2 linked regions of the Mytilus edulis genome follow. The protein of the gene in region 1 interacts with the protein of each later gene in a pairwise test. Links are inferred from orthologs where the notes say so. Each region holds a gene or a part of one and is shown on either strand. Other genes may lie near its edges.

The links.
Region 2: the proteins of phytanoyl-CoA dioxygenase, peroxisomal-like (region 1) and peroxisomal targeting signal 2 receptor-like interact in a two-hybrid assay, tested with the Homo sapiens proteins (2 studies listed by BioGRID, with this or other methods). The link is inferred for Mytilus edulis from reciprocal best matches to the Homo sapiens genes PHYH and PEX7.

Annotation. Positions count from the first base shown.
Region 1 is NC_092346.1:5,364,566-5,374,149, forward strand, and holds phytanoyl-CoA dioxygenase, peroxisomal-like, read left to right. Parts: upstream 1-5,901; 5' UTR 5,902-5,970; coding exon 5,971-6,954; 3' UTR 6,955-8,119; downstream 8,120-9,584. UniProt on the Homo sapiens protein: Catalyzes the 2-hydroxylation of not only racemic phytanoyl-CoA and the isomers of 3-methylhexadecanoyl-CoA, but also a variety of other mono-branched 3-methylacyl-CoA esters (with a chain length of at least seven carbon atoms) and straight-chain acyl-CoA esters (with a chain length longer than four carbon atoms).
Region 2 is NC_092353.1:34,378,257-34,388,348, forward strand, and holds the start of peroxisomal targeting signal 2 receptor-like, read left to right. Parts: upstream 1-5,458; 5' UTR 5,459-5,531; coding exon 5,532-5,634; intron 5,635-6,921; coding exon 6,922-7,094; intron 7,095-7,899; coding exon 7,900-7,935; intron 7,936-10,012; coding exon 10,013-10,090; intron 10,091-10,092. Other genes in the region: serine-rich adhesin for platelets-like, read right to left, coding at 211-381, 5,124-5,178. UniProt on the Homo sapiens protein: Receptor required for the peroxisomal import of proteins containing a C-terminal PTS2-type peroxisomal targeting signal. Specifically binds to cargo proteins containing a PTS2 peroxisomal targeting signal in the cytosol.

The sequences.
Region 1 (9,584 bases):
CTTAGGAAAAGTTCTGGATCCGCCACTGAAAATGGTGGATGTCTGATTTTCTAATTTCAGAGGGTTTTAAACTTTGTATGTTCTGGTTTTGGTGTATTTTGACTGGAACTCTGTTTTGATTTTAGTGTCTTTGAACTGTGGATGTCTGTTCTGATTTTGGTGTTGTTGGCCTCTGGATGTCAGAATATTTTTTAGTGAGTTGACTAGTGAATTGCTTTTGGTGTATTTGACCATATTGTTGACTAAACCATTGTTCTTCTCACTTCCACAAAGTTTTAACAAAATCAAAATAGACATCCACAGGTAAGTTATAGAAATCAGAATAGTCATCCGCAGGGCAAACACATAAAATATATTGAAACAGATACTAAAATGTCAAAGACTAACAGTTAAAAGATACAAAAATCAGAACAGAAATTTACAGGTCAGAGACATCAAGAGGTCAAAGACATCTTACTGTAAATTTAGAAATTATTGCGAGGTTTTTATTATTGCAAAAAATTCAACACAATTGTAAACGCAATAATTTAAACTCGCATTTTGAAAATTTATATGAATTAAACTGGACGTTTCTCATAATCGTAAAAATAACCAGATGCTCCGCAGGGTGCAGCTTTATACGACCGCAGAGTTCGAATCCTGAACAGTTGTGGCAAATATGGACACAACATTCAAGCTTGATACAGCTCTGAATTTGGATTGTGATTGAATAGTTGACACAACATAGGTTTCTGACACAGAATGAATGTGGTCAAAGAACTTAAACTTAAAAACTTAAAAGTTTTGAATTGGACATTGGACATTTACCTATTATGGTCCAATATTCAAAATCTAAATACATGGTTAGATTCAGCATATCAACGAACCCCAAGAATTCAATTTAGATGAAATCAAGTAAAGTTAAATTTTGGACCCTTTAAACCTCAATGTGGACCAATTTGATAACCGGGCCCAAATATCAATAATCTAAATACATGTTTGTCCCTTTGGCACATTCCCCATTTCCATTCTCAATTTGATTAGATTCAGCATATATATCAAAGAACTCCATATATTCAATTTTTGTTGAAATCAAACAAAGTTTATTTTGGACCCCGATTTGGTCCAACTTGAAAACTGGGCCTATAATCAAAAACCTAAATACATGTTTAGATTCAGCATATCAAAGAACCCCTAGGATTCAATTTTTGTTGATATCAAACAAAATTTAATTTTCGACCGCGATTTGGACCAACTTGAAAACTGGCCCCATAAGCAAAAATCTTACTACATGTTTAGGGACGACATCAAAAGATCGATGTAGGATAAAAAATAGTTTGGGGGGTGGGGGGGGGGTTAAAATTCTACAAGTTTTGTATATCTAAAATCGATTTTCACATATATCCCTTTTGGTAAATCAATTTTTCCCAAATTAAGTTAAGAGGGGGGGGGGGGGGGGGGGGGGGGGTTGTGAAAAAAACTATGTGAATTAAGTTTTTTATCCTACATTGAACTTTTGATGTCGTCCCTTAGACTCAGCATATCAAAAAACCCAAGGATTCAATTTTTGTTGAAATCAAACAAAGTTTAATTTGGGATCCCGATTTGGATCAACTTGAAAACTGGGCCCATAATCAAAAATCTAAGTACATGTTTAGATTCAGCATATCAAAGAACCCCAAGAATTCAATTTTAGTTGAAATCAAACAAAATTTAATTTTGGACCCCGATTTGGACTAACTTGAAAACTGGGCCCATAATCAAAAATCTAAGTACATCTTTAGATTTAATATCAGAGAACCCCAAGAATTCAATTTTTGCTAAAATCAAACTTAGTTTAATTTTGGACCCTTTGGACTTTAATGTAGACCAATTTGAAAACGGGATCAAAAATTAAGAATCTACATACACAGTTAGATTTGGCATATCAAAGAACCCAAATCATTCAATTTTTGATGATATCAAACAAAGTTAATTTTTGGACCCTTTGGGCCCCTAATTCCTAAACAGTTGGGACCAAAACTCCCAAAATCAATCCCAAACCTTCCTTTTATGGTCATAAACCTTGTGTTTAAATTTCATAGATTTCTATTTACTTATACTAAAGTTATGGTGCGAAAACCAGAAAAATGCTTATTTGGGCCCCTTTTTGGCCCATAATTCCTAAACTGTTGGGACTTAAACTCCCAAAATCAATCCCAACCTTCCTTTTTATTTTCGAAAACTCTTGCGACAAATTCAACACTTGCCAGACAGAACTGCAAACGTAGCTTCACATCTTCTTCTTGGACGGATTACCATTGAATCAGAAATACATAAACGAATTCTGAAAACTTTTGGAAATATCATAAGAAATGAAAACTCAATTGAAAGAAAATTAGCCATCAGACAGCTAGCAACAAAATCTCTACAATCTGGTAGCTGGTTTACAAAAACTGTTGAAATTGCCAATATATATGACCTACCGTCGCCATATGATATTATAGATAACCCACCCGGGAAACAACTTTGGAAAAACCTGGTAAATAAAACAGTCGGTGATCACTGTATAAAACAAATGATAACTCGAATGAAGCAAAATCAAAATCTACTCTGGCTCGCCTAAATTACGAAAATGTCAAAGAAGAGAAAATACATAACATTTGAAAAAACTGTGGCACTAATCCATATGCCATCACATCTGCCTCCTTTAAGGCAAAGTTAGCAACAGGGACAATATACCTGTAATATCATCGAGCTAAATTTAGCAATGGACATATATGTGTCGCCTATTGGCCAGTTATGTGCAGAGGAAGAAGAAGATATAAAATTGAGAATGGAAATGGGGAATGTGCCAAAGAGACAACAACCCGACCATAGAAAAAAACAACACCAGAAAGTCACCAACAGGTCTTCAATGTAGCGAGAAATTCCCGCACTCGGAGGCGTCCTTCAACTGGCCCCTAAACAAATATATACTAGTTCAGTGATAATGAACGCCATACTAATTTCCAAATTGTATACAAGAAACAAAAATTAAAATAATACAAGACTAACAAAGGCCAGAGGCTCCTGACTTGGGACAGGCGCAAACATTCGGCGGGGTTAAACATGTTTGTGAGATCTCAACCCTCCCCCTATACCTCTAGCCAATGTAGAAAAGTAAACGCATAACAATACGCACATTAAAATTCAGTTCAAGAGAAGTCCGAGTCTGATGTCAGAAGATGTAACCAAAGAAAATAAACAAAATGACAATAATACATAAATAACAACAGACTACTAGCAGTTAACTGACATGCCAGCTCCAGACTTCAATTAAACTGACTGAAAGATTATGATTTCATCATATGAACATCAGGCACAATCCTTCCCGTTAGGGGTTTAGGGAGCTACCATTTGATTTTTATGGGGGGCTAGGATGAAAAATTTTGTCCTGCATTTTTTTTTAGTTGTAATGTCTGTCCTGCCTTTTTATTTTTCACTCTATTCGGTCCTGCCTTTTTTTATTAGTTTATCCTGACTTTTTTTTACCTAAATTGTCATCCTGTCTTTTTTTTTGCAAAGTGTCTCATCCTGCCTTTTTTTTTTTTACTCAAAACTCCTGTCCTGCCTATTTTTTTCAAATTTCATCCTAGCCCCCCCATAAAAATCAAATGGTAGCTCCCTTAGTATCATACCATCATAACATATATGAGAAGAACATAACCCGTGTCATACTTCACTTCATATTAAAGTGCTCTAAGCTACAGTATATTAGAGATGATTTTCTACATATGATAGGCGAGGTATTGACAGAAAACCTAGAGGATCAGGATCTTATCCAAGAATTAATAACCAATGACGAACATTTGTGTCAGCTAGTTATTGACTGCTCAAAATTTAGATTTTTAAAATTAATGAGAATGCACAGATTAGAATAGAAACATTATCGAGAGGTCTGTGTCATCAACTATTCCAGCAACGGGCAATATTAATTGAACAGTGATTAAAAGCATGAAATACCGAACTGAAAAGAAGGGACATACCAAAAGATAGAACATTTAAGATAAAATAAGATAAGAAATTGTATTTCAAGTCGGGTTACATTAAATACAAACATAAGCTCTGTAGAGCTTTTTGCCGACATTAATAACAATAACAACACACATATTAAGATACATAAAACACACATATGAGACATACAAATTATGATAGCTATATTGCAAGTAAAAAGTTCATAAATAAAAAGCATAGCACATGCAAGCAAAACACTAAAACTGAAACATAAGCACATGCAAAGCAGAATGAAATAAATAAAGCAAACTAATTTCTATAAGCTACATGGAACAAACATTTAACACAAATAAAATAAAGGTATTAAGATCTGCAGGAGCCACACCTGCATGAGTTGCCATTCCAGTTGTTGATCATACTTTTAAACTGGTTTAGGTTTGTCTGTGCACGGATCGTGTCAGGCAACTCATTCCATAGTGTAGCTCCAGCATATCTTAATGAATGAAGGCCAAAATGTGTGGTTCTCACCTGTGGAATTTCAACAGTTTGTTGTTTTCTAAAAGTATAAGATACATTTTTAAAATTAATGATATCATGGAGATACACCGGTGATTCTTTATGTAATATTTTAAAAGTTTCTATTGCCATCATTCTTATGCGTCTTATTTTTAAAGAAGGTAAACCAGATTTTAACAACAGAGTTTCATAATCACTATCAAAATCTTCATATATGAACCTCAAGGCACGTTCTTGTATTTTTTTCATCTTTTTAGTATTACCCTCCCCACAAAAATGCCAAACCACAGGACAATAATTGAAATTAGACATAATATATGAATGATAAATAGTTAACCTTCCCAATTTAGATAGATGTTTTCCAATTCTTTTAAGAACATTTAACTGTCTTGATGCTTTTTTACAAATATCAGAGATATGAGTTTTAAACTTGAGTTGATAATCTATTGTCACCCCCAGGAGCTTTACCTCAGTGTCACATAAAATTTCATTTCCATCCAAATTGAATTTAATATTCCCACTTTTTGATTTATTCCCAACAGCAATAGCCTGAAATTTATCTGGATTAGCTTTCATTTTGTTATTAGCAAACCAATCAATTAAAACAGCACTTTCCTTTTCTAAAGATTTAACTAATCCATTTAGGTCTGGTCCTGAGTGTGACAATGTATTATCGTCTGCATAATTATACAGTTCATTTTCTTTCACAAAATTGAAAATGTCGTTTAGAAAAATATTAAAAAGCACAGGACCCAAAATCGAGCCCTGCGGTACACCTTTATAGATATTTTGCCAGGTACTAAAATATGCACCGACTTTTACACACTGTTTCCTATTTGATAAATAATTATCAATTAAATTAAGTGCCTCATTTGACAGGCCATATGCCTTCAATTTTAAAAGAAGTAAATTATGGGGTAAGCAGTCAAAGGCCTTAGAAAGGTCCATTAGCACAGCAGCCACATATAAATTTTGATCGACTGCTTTTTTCCAGTCCTCAATGACTTTTAGTAAGGCGGTGTTACAGCCATAGCCAGGTCTAAAAGCTGACAAGGAAGGATGAAATATTTTACTAAAATATTCTATTAGCTGTTGATATATGGCCCTTTCAAAGAATTTTGTTGTATAAAGTGTATTTACATTTTACCGTTTTTAATATGAAAGAAGCAACTTTTATATTTGAATGATGGATGACTTTTAACGCATACCAGAATAGTGTAAATATTGGTGATAGGGTCACATCCCCCAGAGGAGATAATTAATATCTCTTTGATAGTTTTAAAGGTTTTATCTTTTAAACATAATCTTGAGGATTTTAACCGTGAGTGATCATTACACCGATTCTAGGATTGGTGGTTCTCCTGACATAGGAGGGAGTTGCAGTACAGGTAAACAGGTAAACAGGTAAACAAATCAGGAAACAGACACGTATTGCTTTCGTTTTACAAACGTGCCAGTTGTTGACCTTGCACTGTTTATGTTCGAAGTCCAAAAAGAAAAATGGCAGCCCGACTGAAAACGCTTTTTGGTCACATTCAGGAACATAAGACCCCAACTGATGTCTCAACAGTCTTAACACATGCTAGTCCATACACCGGAATTTTTAAGTATACTCTGAATTCGCCAAGGTTGACAGAAAAACAGAGACAGTTTTATGAAGATAATGGGTATTTGGTCATTAAAAAACTTGTTCCTGAGTACAGCCTGCAGAAGTACAGAGAAAGATTTGAACAGATATGTAAAAAGGAAGTTGAAGTACCTGGTTTGACTATTATGAGAGACGTTGCCATTTCAAAAGATGAGTTTGTACCAGGACAAAAGGCAGTAACAAAAATCCAGAACTTTCAGTTAGATGAGGAGTTATTTGAGTATTGTAAATTGCCAGAGGTATTGGACTATGTGGAAGCTATTGTTGGAAGCAATATCAAGGCCATCCATACTATGCTGATTAACAAGCCGCCAGATCCAGGTAGGAAAACCTCCAGACATCCAATGCACCAGGATCTTCATTACTTCCCAATGAAACCAGCGGAGAAGATCGTCTGTTCCTGGACTGCAATGCAAAAAGTTAATCGTGAAAATGGTTGCTTAGTTGTGCTTCCTGGTACTCACAAGGGTACACTACTTCAGCATGATTATCCTGAATGGGAGGGTGGTGTAAATAAGATGTACCATGGTGTGAGAGATTATGATCCCAGCATGCCCCGTTCACATCTTGAGATGGAGGCTGGCGACACAGTTTTCTTCCATCCTCTATTAATACATGGATCAGGAATGAACAGGACAAAAGACTTTAGAAAGTCCATTTCATGCCACTATGCCAGCAGTGATATCGAATTTGCAGAACAAGATTCCCAGAGTGCAATATCTGAGGAAATACTTGATTTGATAGTTAAACAGTACAAGGTTCCCAGGGACAGCGTTAAATATGAGGACCTATGGAAAATCAAAAGCCGTACTGTTAAAGGACATTCCGATTGGTAATGTAACAGTTACATTTTCAAAAGTGTTAGTCTAAATTATTCTTGTGATGCATGTAGGTGTGACTTTAATTTTAGTTAACATATTTATTATTTGGACATCATATATTTATGATTTAGTTCTGATATACATGTACAAAAACTGTACACATATATATTCAAAATGACATTTGATTGACTGAAATAAAATAAATGACTTGAATTATATGCTAAATTGCTAGCTTGACTTTGATTCAAATATGTACAAAAAACAAAAAAATGATGTAGAGATTTTGTACATACATTGCATTTGTATGTAAATTTATTAATTTTTTCGTTGAAAATTTTAATTTATATTTGATCATTTGTATTACTATTTTTTATTATGTGATTATCATAATTATTTTGAAATGTTTTTAGTGTAAATGATAATAATATTGAAATTTATTTATTCTGCATATTCTATGGTTCAATGAAGAAAAGTATAGTTTTTGTATTGATTGTTGAGCTTATAATATATAACAGTGTTTCAAAACCTTTTTGTTTGAACTAACATAAAATGCATGTTATGTAGCTTACTAATTTTGCGATTTTAATTTTCACTTAGAAATTTGATATTTGCAAACAAAGAATTTTTCTGTGGCGGCATCACCAGTTTGATATTTTTTATAAGTATTATAAAGAAGATTCAAAGGTAAAAAAAACCCGTATATTTTCAAGATGTAACCAATATCCCCCTCTTTTTAAAAGCATACAATACTATAGGTTTTATCATACAAATAAAGTGACTAAACAAACAAATCTTAATAGTATACATATGTTATATAAATAACAAATAACTCATGATTTTATAATAACAAATAGATTTATCAGTTATCATGTACATGTACATTGTATTATCAATAAATACATGTGTACAGGTACATTTTACTAAATTATTAACTGATACATTTTTCCTATAAAGTATGAATATAAAATGTGCAGTATCATCATGATTATAGGTAATTAAGGACGACCAGACTTAATTTTTATCTTTAATTTAAGCAGTATTGCTAAAATTCAACCTAAATATTTATAAATTTGACACATTGTATATTTGATTTACTATAGCCTGATGATTGACAAATGATTGAAATAATATGTTCCAATAGATTGCGATTCTTACATAATTTATTAAAAATTATTACTTTTGTTTGATTTCTATTTATTTCCATTCACCAATTTTGACAATGTTTGTATAAGGTGTCAAGCTGCTGTTGGAGACCTAGTCTTGAAACTGATGATAGAAATGAATCATAAGTAAAGAGCAGACATAGAATTTTTGTGTCATTGTCCAACATCTGTCTGTCCTTTCTTGTGTTTTAAGCGCTCTAACATGTAAAATGCAAGATATTTATGAAATTTAAATCAAAGGTTTAATTACATCAGCAATGTCTTGGACAAGTTCTGAAAATCAGTTCCAAGTAAACATTTTTAAATGAGATATGCCCATTGGAAATATTTAAATTATATGGAAAATTTAATTGTAATCGCTCTAAAGTCTACCTTTCTTGTAGGACCGAATGAATATACCAGTATATCAAAATTTTATGTCAGCAATATGTCTAAAATTTTGTATCTAAAGCACTCACTTGTATACAAGTCTGACCAGATTGTTTAGAAAATGCATATCAAAGGTTTACATGTATATCACCAATGATAGACAAAGTTGGAAAATCAAAGACAATGGCCACCAACTTGAACAATCAAATGGAAGATGGCACATAATTTGGATAGCATGGTCAATACATGACTGCAGAGAAGATTGTCTATTCCTGGACTGCCAGTGGCGAATCCAGAAATTTTCATAAGTGGGGGCCCACTGACTGACCTAAGAGGGGGCCCGCTCGAGTCACACTTCAGTGATTCCCTATATAAGCAACCAATTTTTTTTCCAAAAAGGGGGGGGGGGGCCAGGCCCCCTGCCCCCCCTAAATCCGCCTCTGACTGCAATGCAAAAAGTTAATCACGTTGCTTAGTTGTGCTCCCGGGTACTCACAGAAATCAACAGGTGTTGGTTAAATGATGCCTCTGAAGAAACTAGAAACAGCACTAACATCTTTAACAGGTTGCATGAAGTGTCATCATAACTTTTAATTGAAATCTACAGTCAACTAATTTTGAATTGTCTGAGAGGGAAAACTGACCTTCCATAATTTGGCTGCTCTGTTTTTACCCTGTTTTGTTTTCAATGATCTTAAATGTTCACCTATATGGTTCTTGTTAGTTTAAGACTTCTGAATACCTGCCAAAAAATATCATTGATCATACTTCTATCAAAGAGATTTGAAATCCTTTAAAATCAGACACTTAAATCAGAACAGACTGAAAGACCAAAATAAGAATGGACACCCACCAGTCATAGACACCAAAATCAAAACAGACATCCACAGGTCAAACACACCAAAATCAGAATAGACATTCATAGGTCAAACACACCAAAATCAGAATAGACACTCATAGGTCAAAGACACCAAAATCAGAACAGACTTTCACAAGTCAAAGACGCCAAAATCACAACAGACATCCACTGTAAAAAGATACATGTACCAATATCAGAATAGACATTTAAAGTTCAAAGACACCATTTGACTTGTTGATGTTTGTCTTAGACAT
Region 2 (10,092 bases), on another chromosome or scaffold:
GACATTATACATGTATTCTTGGTATTTTTGACATCGCTATTGCTCCGGCAAAAATAATCATGAATATAATGCCTACCCATGTTAAAACTACAATAAAATATAGCTTGCATCAATTATTTCTTAAATGTGAGAGGTTATTTTGTATGAAAATTTATATCTGTTTAATTATACATTTGTATGTTAATACTCATGTATACACACAGCACTTACCAACTAAATAAAACTGAGCAAATTTCTCAATAATTTGTATAAGAGTAAATCCACTTATCGTCAGAGGATAATGTCTTCCTCTCTTCATCAAGGCCACATACTCTTGTAGATGAATGCATTCTTTCACAAAAGTTTTATATGTAGATGTGTATCCTTCACTTTCCAGAAAACCTACAAAAAATAACATTACTTTAACATGTTTAATGCCTGTCTGGTTTTAAGCATTAGCATTCAAATGTTAATGCATACGTGGCTTTACTTGAGAAAGATTGGAATGAGAGTCATACATGTAATGACTGTGTATGGCATGATTTTTAGGAATAAAACAAAAATAATAGGTGTGTTTCTGGTTGCATGCCACCAAAAAATAGCATCAGGTCATGATTTTTTTTTTCATCTCTTCAAGTTTTATTTTTAAAATTTGTTCAAATGTTTTTGAGTTTGAAACTTTTTATTTCAGGTTTATAGTTGCCAAGAGGCCAAATTGTCACTGTACTTTCAAACCTACCCAACTCATACATTCTACAAAAAATCTACTTTAAAAACATCTAGTTACAGTAGAATAGAAATTCTAAATTATGAATGAACATGATAAATGAAGATAAGTATTACATGTATAAGCATGATAACTTAAGGTGGAATATAAAAATCAACGTAAATAAAAAAGAATATATTAAAACAGGAGTATACATTTACAGAGTGTTTACTATATATAAAGTTGTATTAATATAATTGACAAGATTTAGGGTGAACATGGTGAATAACACTTTCAACAATACAACATGCTCAAGTCTTCTTAAATCATTGAACCTTTTCCGGGAGTGTTCCTGTATCCCTTTCTGTGCTTTACTACATGTATAAGTTATCTACGTTCATATCCGTAGATATGGATATTTTAACACCCTGAAGTACCCCAGTACACCTTGAGGCGTAGCCGAAGGGTGTACAGGGTACTGAAGGGTGTTATAGCCGAAGGGTGTACAGGGTACTGAAGGGTGTTAAAATATCCATATCTATGGATATGAACGTAGATAACGAATTTATCCCCGGTCTTAGTCCGAATCGGGCGAGTTTTATGGAAATTCGGGTACAAAGTGTAACGCGAAAATAACGGTTTTTTCATTATCTAAAAAAGTTTTATTGAAATTTGGAAATTTTACATATTTTTTACGGGGTGTAGGGTACTACCTTTGGTAGAACCCTACAGGTAGTCAAATATAAGACGTTTTTAATAGAGAGACAGAGAAACTGGATTGAGTCAAATATGGCGCTCTATGTTGTGAGCGTTACGCCATACAGTACACACAGAGAGGATGTAATCTCATACTCCCAACACTGATTCTGGTGTAACACAGTGTCACACTGTGAAACACAGATTCCCCTCCCGAAAAACACCAAGTAATTTCTCCCATCTGGGAGGGTTTTATGACCTGTTGATTGCAGGTAAAAGTAATAAAAATCAACAAAGCATGACTGCATGGTCTGACAGTGACATAAAACTAAATGTCAACTATTCTCTCACTTCTTCCTATTTCAATCATTTCCTATTTAGTTTTATTTCTGAAAGCTATAAAAAAAAGGTTAATGAAATGATTTTTAAAAGTTATATCCAAAAGTATTTTTAGATTGGAAAATTATTTACATTCTTTCATAATCTCATAATTAAGAATGTCAACTTGATATTTACAATAAGTTGTATTTATACAGTTAGTTTAAACATGTAGATATTAAAATATATACATGGTTTAAAAAATAATAGTAATACTAATGAGACAAAAAAAATGAATAAAATAAAATAATGTAGATAAATTTCATACATCTTCATTTATTATTTAATTTTATAAAAAAAAATTGAATAAATTTAATTAAAATATTATGTCTTTATTTTCTATTAATTATACTCAACTTACACTACAGGTGATGTTTTGTTTGTTTTAATTATGTTTCTTAGGTATGAAAAACCAACACTGTCCAAACAAATGCTGAGTATGTTATTAATAAAAAAAAAGTTGTGCAGGATTCTTTAATAAAATCAGATTATAATATATCTCTGATTAAATTTAACAAATCTCACACTTTTCATCATTTTTGTGACTGTCATTTAATGACAGGAAACACAAGAAATGTTTATTGTAGTTATCAACTCCTTGCACACTTCAAAGGTGAACATAGCAATAAAAATCATGGTGTTGGGAGAAACCACACCAAGGTAATAAACAATTAAGGAGTTTTAGGGAGGAATTACTCCAAGTTTCTCCCAATTTCCTCCCAAGATTTGGAGAGTGTTGCTGGAGTTTCCTGGTGTGACACCAAGTTTTTACACAGTGTAGGGAGTATGCAATTACATCCTCTCTGTGTGTACTGTAGACAGGCCATTCATTAGGAGGCGGTACCCGGTACTTTTACCCTCCTATGCTATTGACAAGTACCGCCTAAATGTAGAAATTTTTATATAAGATATTCATGGAATAAATTGAAAAGTACCACCTAGAAACGTGGAAAGTACCAGTCAACATGAAAGATAATGAAACCCCTGCAGTGACTGTGTAGATAGTGTGACGTCAACGTGGGTAATTTGCATAGCTAGGTCAGTAGTCCCATTCCTTGAAAATATGGCAGTCAAGTGATGCATTTAATGAAATGAGTGTAAATGATCGGCATAATAGGACAAACTCGTTAATTAATTAAATATTTAATTACATACATCATGGATAATCTACAGACTTCAATTTTCACAAGGAGCAATCATGGAACTAAGGAAAACTTGCGTGAAGTTCCCCGGGATAATGGTTAGCAACGTCCGGGGATATGGGTTAGCAACACCCAGGGGCTATGGGTTTTGTAACGACGTGCGTTAACCAATCAAAATCCTAGATATATACTAAGCCGGGGATAAAACTTTATATACATTTGTAGAGCACAGAAAGGTTTCACCACAGAACTCCAGATAAGCTGCATATTTGCGTGATTATGCAATAAAAATAATTGAAAACCCAATGCAAATGCCCATAGCAGTGTTCTAAAACCCAATTCATGCAAAGGAAAACCCAATAATTTGTCAAAACCATGAGTTCTTAACGCTTTTATTCACTATTGTATGCGTTATTTACCCTTATCTATTACGTAGTCGTCGCATAAATCTATTTTTGTAATATTGAAATCGGATTATCGGAAATGTACTTTCGTTCTAAAAATAGAGCATTGAAAGGGTCCCTGTTGAAATGTTCCGTTGCTTAAAGGTACACGTGGTGATGAAAACATTTCGATCTTCTCTGTCTTTATCCAATAAGCGTTTGTCATGTCGTCATAATTCTTTTCGTATTGCTCGGGATTTAATATTACACTTAGCAATGAATTAAAACGAAAGTAAATTTCCAGTAAAAATATTGAATAAAAGCATGTTTTTTGCTACTTTTGGAGAGCGGAGGAATTATGATGATAAAAAGACTCAGCTAGTTTAATCAGGAAGCCTCCCTTGAACGCACGGGGTAGTGCAATGGCGTGTCCAGGGAATGTTTGCGTGTCTTAACAAGAAAAGGGTTAGAACTCGTCAGAACTCGTCAGAACTAAACCAGTTGGAACATGAAAGGCCAAAGCACTTATATGAAGTCAGCATCGGAAACCAAAAGTTCTAATAAGGGACAAGAAAACCCAGATTTATGTTAAGATTAAACAAAAACACTGTTTATTTTTAGTTCAAGAGTATATATAATATCTATTTCATTTTAGTGAACACACATATACATGTATTAGTTTTGATGTAAATGTAGCTTGCCATTTTTTTTGTTTTAGGTCTATTGTTCTGCATGCCCAAGATACATGTAGTTGTCTTTTTGGCAAGTGCAGTACAGCACTTTTAAAATGTTCACAAATAATACATAAAAATCTAAAAACTATTAGCCACACCTACAAATAAACTGAATGGTGATCATATGTACTCTAGAAAGGTAATTAGGTACTGTCCTATTAGTGTCACCAGTAAATATAAGTTATGGAAAATACAAAACTTTATGTTGAAACCAGACACAAATTAAACGTACAATTGCTCGTCAGTACATGTATATAAACCAAATAAAACAGCTATCACATAGAAAAATTTTTGAACCAAACTCGGTACATTTTGACGGACCTGAATTTCCGGATAATGTAAAACAAAGGTTCCGGAAATTCGGGTCTGTCAAATTTTACCGAGTTTGGTGTAAAACTTATTTTATAATCTCCTAAAAATAAATCAGATAATCGTTTTAAAAAATGCAGTCGACATGTTCCCGCCTTGGATGGAATTGTTACTTATATTATTATTTCTGTAGGGATTAATTATATATATATAATTGGAAATATTTTGCACAAACAAACACATAAAAGGTAAGAATTTTTATATATGCAATTTTTTTAGCCTTCAATGAAAATTTGATGTCCAAATTGGATCTCAAAGTTGAGAGCAAAATATGCTCTCAAAGTCCAACCGAAAATGGCGGCTTCAGCATTATGACGTCGAAGTAAGGTATCAAAGAAGAAAAATATAATAGCCTTTCAAGACGTCATAATTATTTGGACTAGTATAAGTTATACCATATTTATATTTGTAAACTCAAATGCAGGGCAGCCACACTTTTATGCTATTTGATGGTTACAATTTTGGCAAAATCTCAAGCATTAATTTGTTTTCAAATTTCATTAAAACTTGGCAGTCTTCATCATGCTCATGGAAATCCAATTCAATTGCTGAAAAAATAACCTTCAGGTCTGACCTACCTCATGTAAAATTCAAGGGGACATATTTTCTTGGTTGTAAATTGCTTTAATGCGTTGCATCTTTTGTAACCTGAACAAAAATTATGTAAATTTGTTAAACATGTTAAAAAAATATCACGCAACTTATCAGGCCTTGTGTTTATGCTTATTTTACGCACCTAATACTAATCTTGCTATTTCAGAAGGAAGGAAATGCGAAGTTGTTGTGTCCATTCTCAATATTGTTTCAATACAACCTAGGATAAAAGATATTTGATACGCATTTTTGATGTAAACTGTAGCTGTCACTTGTAAAAATGGCGGGCAATGTTGTTCGCCGAATTATGGCAATGTCGCAAAACTCAGAGAAATTCGTTGTTTTACCTTTCTATGAATGAATATAATAGTCTCAGTATCAGTCTGTAATAATAGCAAAATATTAAGATATTTATTATTGAAGCTATTAGAAGATCCTTCATTTAAAAAATCCAGTTAATGTCGTAAAGTAATCTTCTATAATTTGAGGTCAATATCTAGGCCGAAAGATTTTTTTCCCGTAAATGTGAACTCTAGGTTAAAAAATGTAAATGTCACTTCAAATTAAAGGGAGGCACGGATATTCTGTAGAATTTTCTCCGTATTTTCAACATAGATTTGCATGTGCCTCATCACAATATTATGGAATTGCAGGCAAGCATTTTTTTTTAAAAAGGGGGATCAAGGATTTGTACACATGTATAGTGTCACTATACAAATCCTTGGGGGGATACATGGTGTGGCTCTTCTCCACGGTGTATAAAAGCCTTAACAGGATTCTACACGTACCTATACAGATACAGATGTGGGTGGTACATCACTAAAACCGTAAAAATTCTTGGCAAATGATGATACGTTAATTTTTGCTGTATTTTAAACACTCATAAAAGCTTAAATGTTTGTATTGTTATATGTTAACCGAATCAAAAAAAAAACTTTCGTAATGGTATTCGTTAAATGTAAACTTTCTTTAAGACGATAAAATCAACTATTTTTGATGAATCACGTTAAATTTTATCCCAACGATAATCTTTTCTTAAAACTTCTGACGAAACATGATAAGGATATTTAGACAAATCACTGTAAATTTTTAACCAATTTGACGCTAACGGTAGCAGAAAATGACTGACTGTTTGACAACTGACTGACGGTTAAGGGCATTCATAGTACCCTCATAATCATGATGATATATATTAGAGACACCAGAATACAAAAATAAAGTAAAAATTGTTCAGAGGTGTGCTCACTGTGCTGCTCGTTATGTATGTCACAAAGTTACACAAACTATACTGTTTGTGGGCGTAAATATTTTACATAAGGGTACTTTATGTGTCAACAGATTGACCTTAATTGGTCAGATTCAGGTGTTTGCTGTTCAACTCACTTTCATGTACCTATTAAAACCAGTAGCATGATAAGTCTTACATCCATGATAAAATATCTTCAATGGCCCTAACATTCTGAGCACAGCAATAATATTAAGTGGATTATGTTCAATATCACTTATATTAAAGTCATCCATACTTAAGACTCATTGCAATTCTCTTGGACAGTTACAAGTCATGCAAGTGGTAATTTTTTCCAAAAACAATATAAATACAATTGAAATTGTAGTGGCCTGCAAAACAGTTGAAACCTCTACAACATAAAATAACTTACTATATTTCAATGTACATATTTTGTTGAAACTTATTTTATTAAGGAAAACCAAATTTAAAAATGTATCCTTTTTGCATTTGGCAGTAATATGATAAACAATTCTATAAATAGTCATGATAGTAGGTTCCAGAAACAAGCTGTTTACTTATTTCAACATTTTTGAAATATTTGCTTTAAATATAAAAAGGGTATCAACTGAAGCCTGTATTGCTGCAGAGGCATCTGTGTTCCCCCTTTTAGCTATCATTTTTTATTTTTCATTTTCTCCTGTCTAAATTTCAGGGAATGGTACACTCTTTATCATAGACCAGACCCCCAATGGACTGGTCCCTACTGTTGTATTTGACTGGAATGATGGACTGTTTGATGTGACCTGGGCAGAGAATAATGAAAATGTACTTGTAACTGCATCTGGTGATGGTGGAATTGTTGTGTGGGATGCTTCACAACCCAGAGTAAGTTTAGATTTGTCATCATGTACATGGCATTATTGAAACATAAAAATAGAATTCTTTAATTCATTACCAAAAGCAATTATTGATATATATCGATAGTTGTTAAATTCCCATACCTGCCAACTGTCACTATTTGTGGGGGATTTCCCCCATGGAGGCTCCCAAATTGTAATTTTGAAAGAGCTTTTTTGTCCACAATTTTAAACAAAACAATTAATTTTACAATGACATTAGGCTTATAAAAGTATTAAGAAGCCAAAAAAACAACATTAACAAATGATTAAAATGTATTTGTAGCCCCCCTTGAAGGTATTTTAGGATTATGGCAGCCATCTTGCACGCAAAACCCCCATGGGCATTTTGAAAAGTTGGCAGGTATGAATTCCTGCATGTAATGAATTTACAATGTACATTGTTCAATGTTTTAAGCTCTTTATTTCTAATTAAGGTATCCAAAGGCCAAGGGACACTATAATGGCAACACTACACAATGCCTTCTCGTTTATAACTCATTTACATACATGGCATATAAACATGTACAAATTAACCCACATGGTTGTGGTATAAAAACGTTTGAAACATGAACAAACTTAAAGGGAGAAAAACATTGATTTAGACAAATGTACGTAGTACAGTCAGGGTAACAACTGAGCACAAATGTTTGAACAACCTGCTAATTGATTTTTTTCTAGTAGTGTATTTTGCTAAATTTAATTGGTATCAATTTCTACCATACATTTTTCTATATATACTTTAATCAGATCATTATTAAACTGGATATATTAAAGATTTTTTTTCTTTACAGGGTCCTATCAAGGCATATAAAGAACATTCAAAAGAGGTACAGTTAGTTACAAAGGTTATAGATTTTAATGAAATAAGCCAACAAAAATGATCAGAAATTATGTACATAAAATTATAAAAAACAGAAATGTCAAGATATAAATAAAATCAGATCTGCTCTAATCATCATTAAAAACAAATAAAGATCATGTTGATCCCCATAAGATTTTCTACAAACATAGGAAATGATAGCAAGGGAAATTTGCAATAGTTAATTGCCACTGTACAATACATGTACAATACATGTATAATATCAGCAACTGAGCTGCCAAAGATTCAAAGATTCAAAAGTTTTATTATCCTCAGACACAACAGTGTACAAGAGGTCAATATACATACATACATAGATAGACGAAATATCTATACAGTAATTACAATACAATTATGATAAACATGTATATGTTACAGTAAATAGGTGAAATTAGGAATTACACGTAATTACTAAACATTTCAGTAAATACCTGTAATCACTAGTCAATTTAGTAATTACATGTATTTACTAGTTGTTTCAGTTATTACAGGTATTTACTGATTTTTTTTGTCATTTTTACAGCTATTTACTAACTTGATATTTTTGTTTAAAAATTAAAGACATAATTCAAGATATCAAATAAGAAAGTAAGGGGTAGGGATTTGTAGGGCTTACTTAAGGATCAAGGATTATAAGGCACATTAAAAGTGCATACTCTTCAGTATTTGTGAATTGAAACTGGAAAATGGTTGTTTTATAAGTTTTGAAACTCCCTAAAAATCATTTTGAGCATGCAAGACAATGATACCAATCCAAAATTGAGAAAAACATTTTTGAGAATTGTATAGGCAACTTAGGCAGCTATTTTTTAAGATAGACATTAGATTATGGCAAACTTGGTTAAATGATCTTGATAATTCTTAAAATCTCATAATTTTGTTATATTAAAATCTCCATCAGAATGATCAGGCATACTCTGCATATCAACTTGGCCAATAACATGAGTTAAATTCCTTTTACAACATAGGTTTAACTACGACTTCTTTTTTCAGACATTTGTGATGAAGCTGACATTCTTCACAAACAAATTTACACAAATTGATGGCGTTAAGAGTCACATTTTCATATTTCCGTGTTTTTATGAGTTCTTCAAGGCCTCCAAACTAAAGCTTATATACCTCCAACAAAATTTTATCATCGTTTCTTCCTGTATAAGAATGATCTTTTTGTGGATTGAAAAAGTCACCTAAATGGTCCATCCCTTTTGTTTTACTTTCAATGTTGACATTCTTTTCCTTTTCGTCTAGCCTGCGTTTTTTGTCGCAAAAGTGAGACATAGCCAACCAACCTAATAATTTCGTCGCCAGAGGCGTCCACAAATATTCGCTCTGTGGTTATATTTTTTAAATTTTGATAAGTTTCTCAAATCATCCTGGATTTCTACGAAACTTGAACAGAAGCTTCAGTTGTTTATGATCAAAAGATAAATTTTAAAAAGTAAATTTTGTAAAAATAAAATCAAGTTTTTCCGTATTTTACTTATAAAGGGACTTAGTTTTTATCTCAGATAACATTACATTCACACTGTGGTTAAATTTTTAAAAATTTTAATAACTTTCTCAAAATATCCTGGATTTCTACCAAAATTGGACAGAAGCTTGTTTATGATCATCAGATAATATCTAGAAATAAAGTTTGTAAAAAAAAACTATACTTTTTCGTATATATTACTTATTTAAACAGACTATTTTTTTCCAGTTAACATAACATACACTCTGCAGTCTGCTAATTTCACCTATTTACTGTAACATATATATATATTCGCCATAATTGTTACATTGCTCACAATGAGAACATGAAAAACAATTTTTAGGAAATCCTAATATAGAAAGTAGTATGTCCTGTGAAGATGAAATAACATTCATGAAAAAGACATCATGTATGAAAGAGAAAATCATACACGAAAGAAAAATTGTACACAAAAGAAGAATTGTACACAAAAGAGAAATTGTACACAAAAGAGAAATCTGTACACAAAAGAGAAAATTAAACATGAAATAGTAAATTATACATGAAATGGTTAATCATACCTGATTATTTCTAGGTTTATTCAGTACATTGGAGTCAGACAAGAAATGAAAACTTTGTTTTAAGTGGCTCATGGGACAAACTAATCAAACTGGT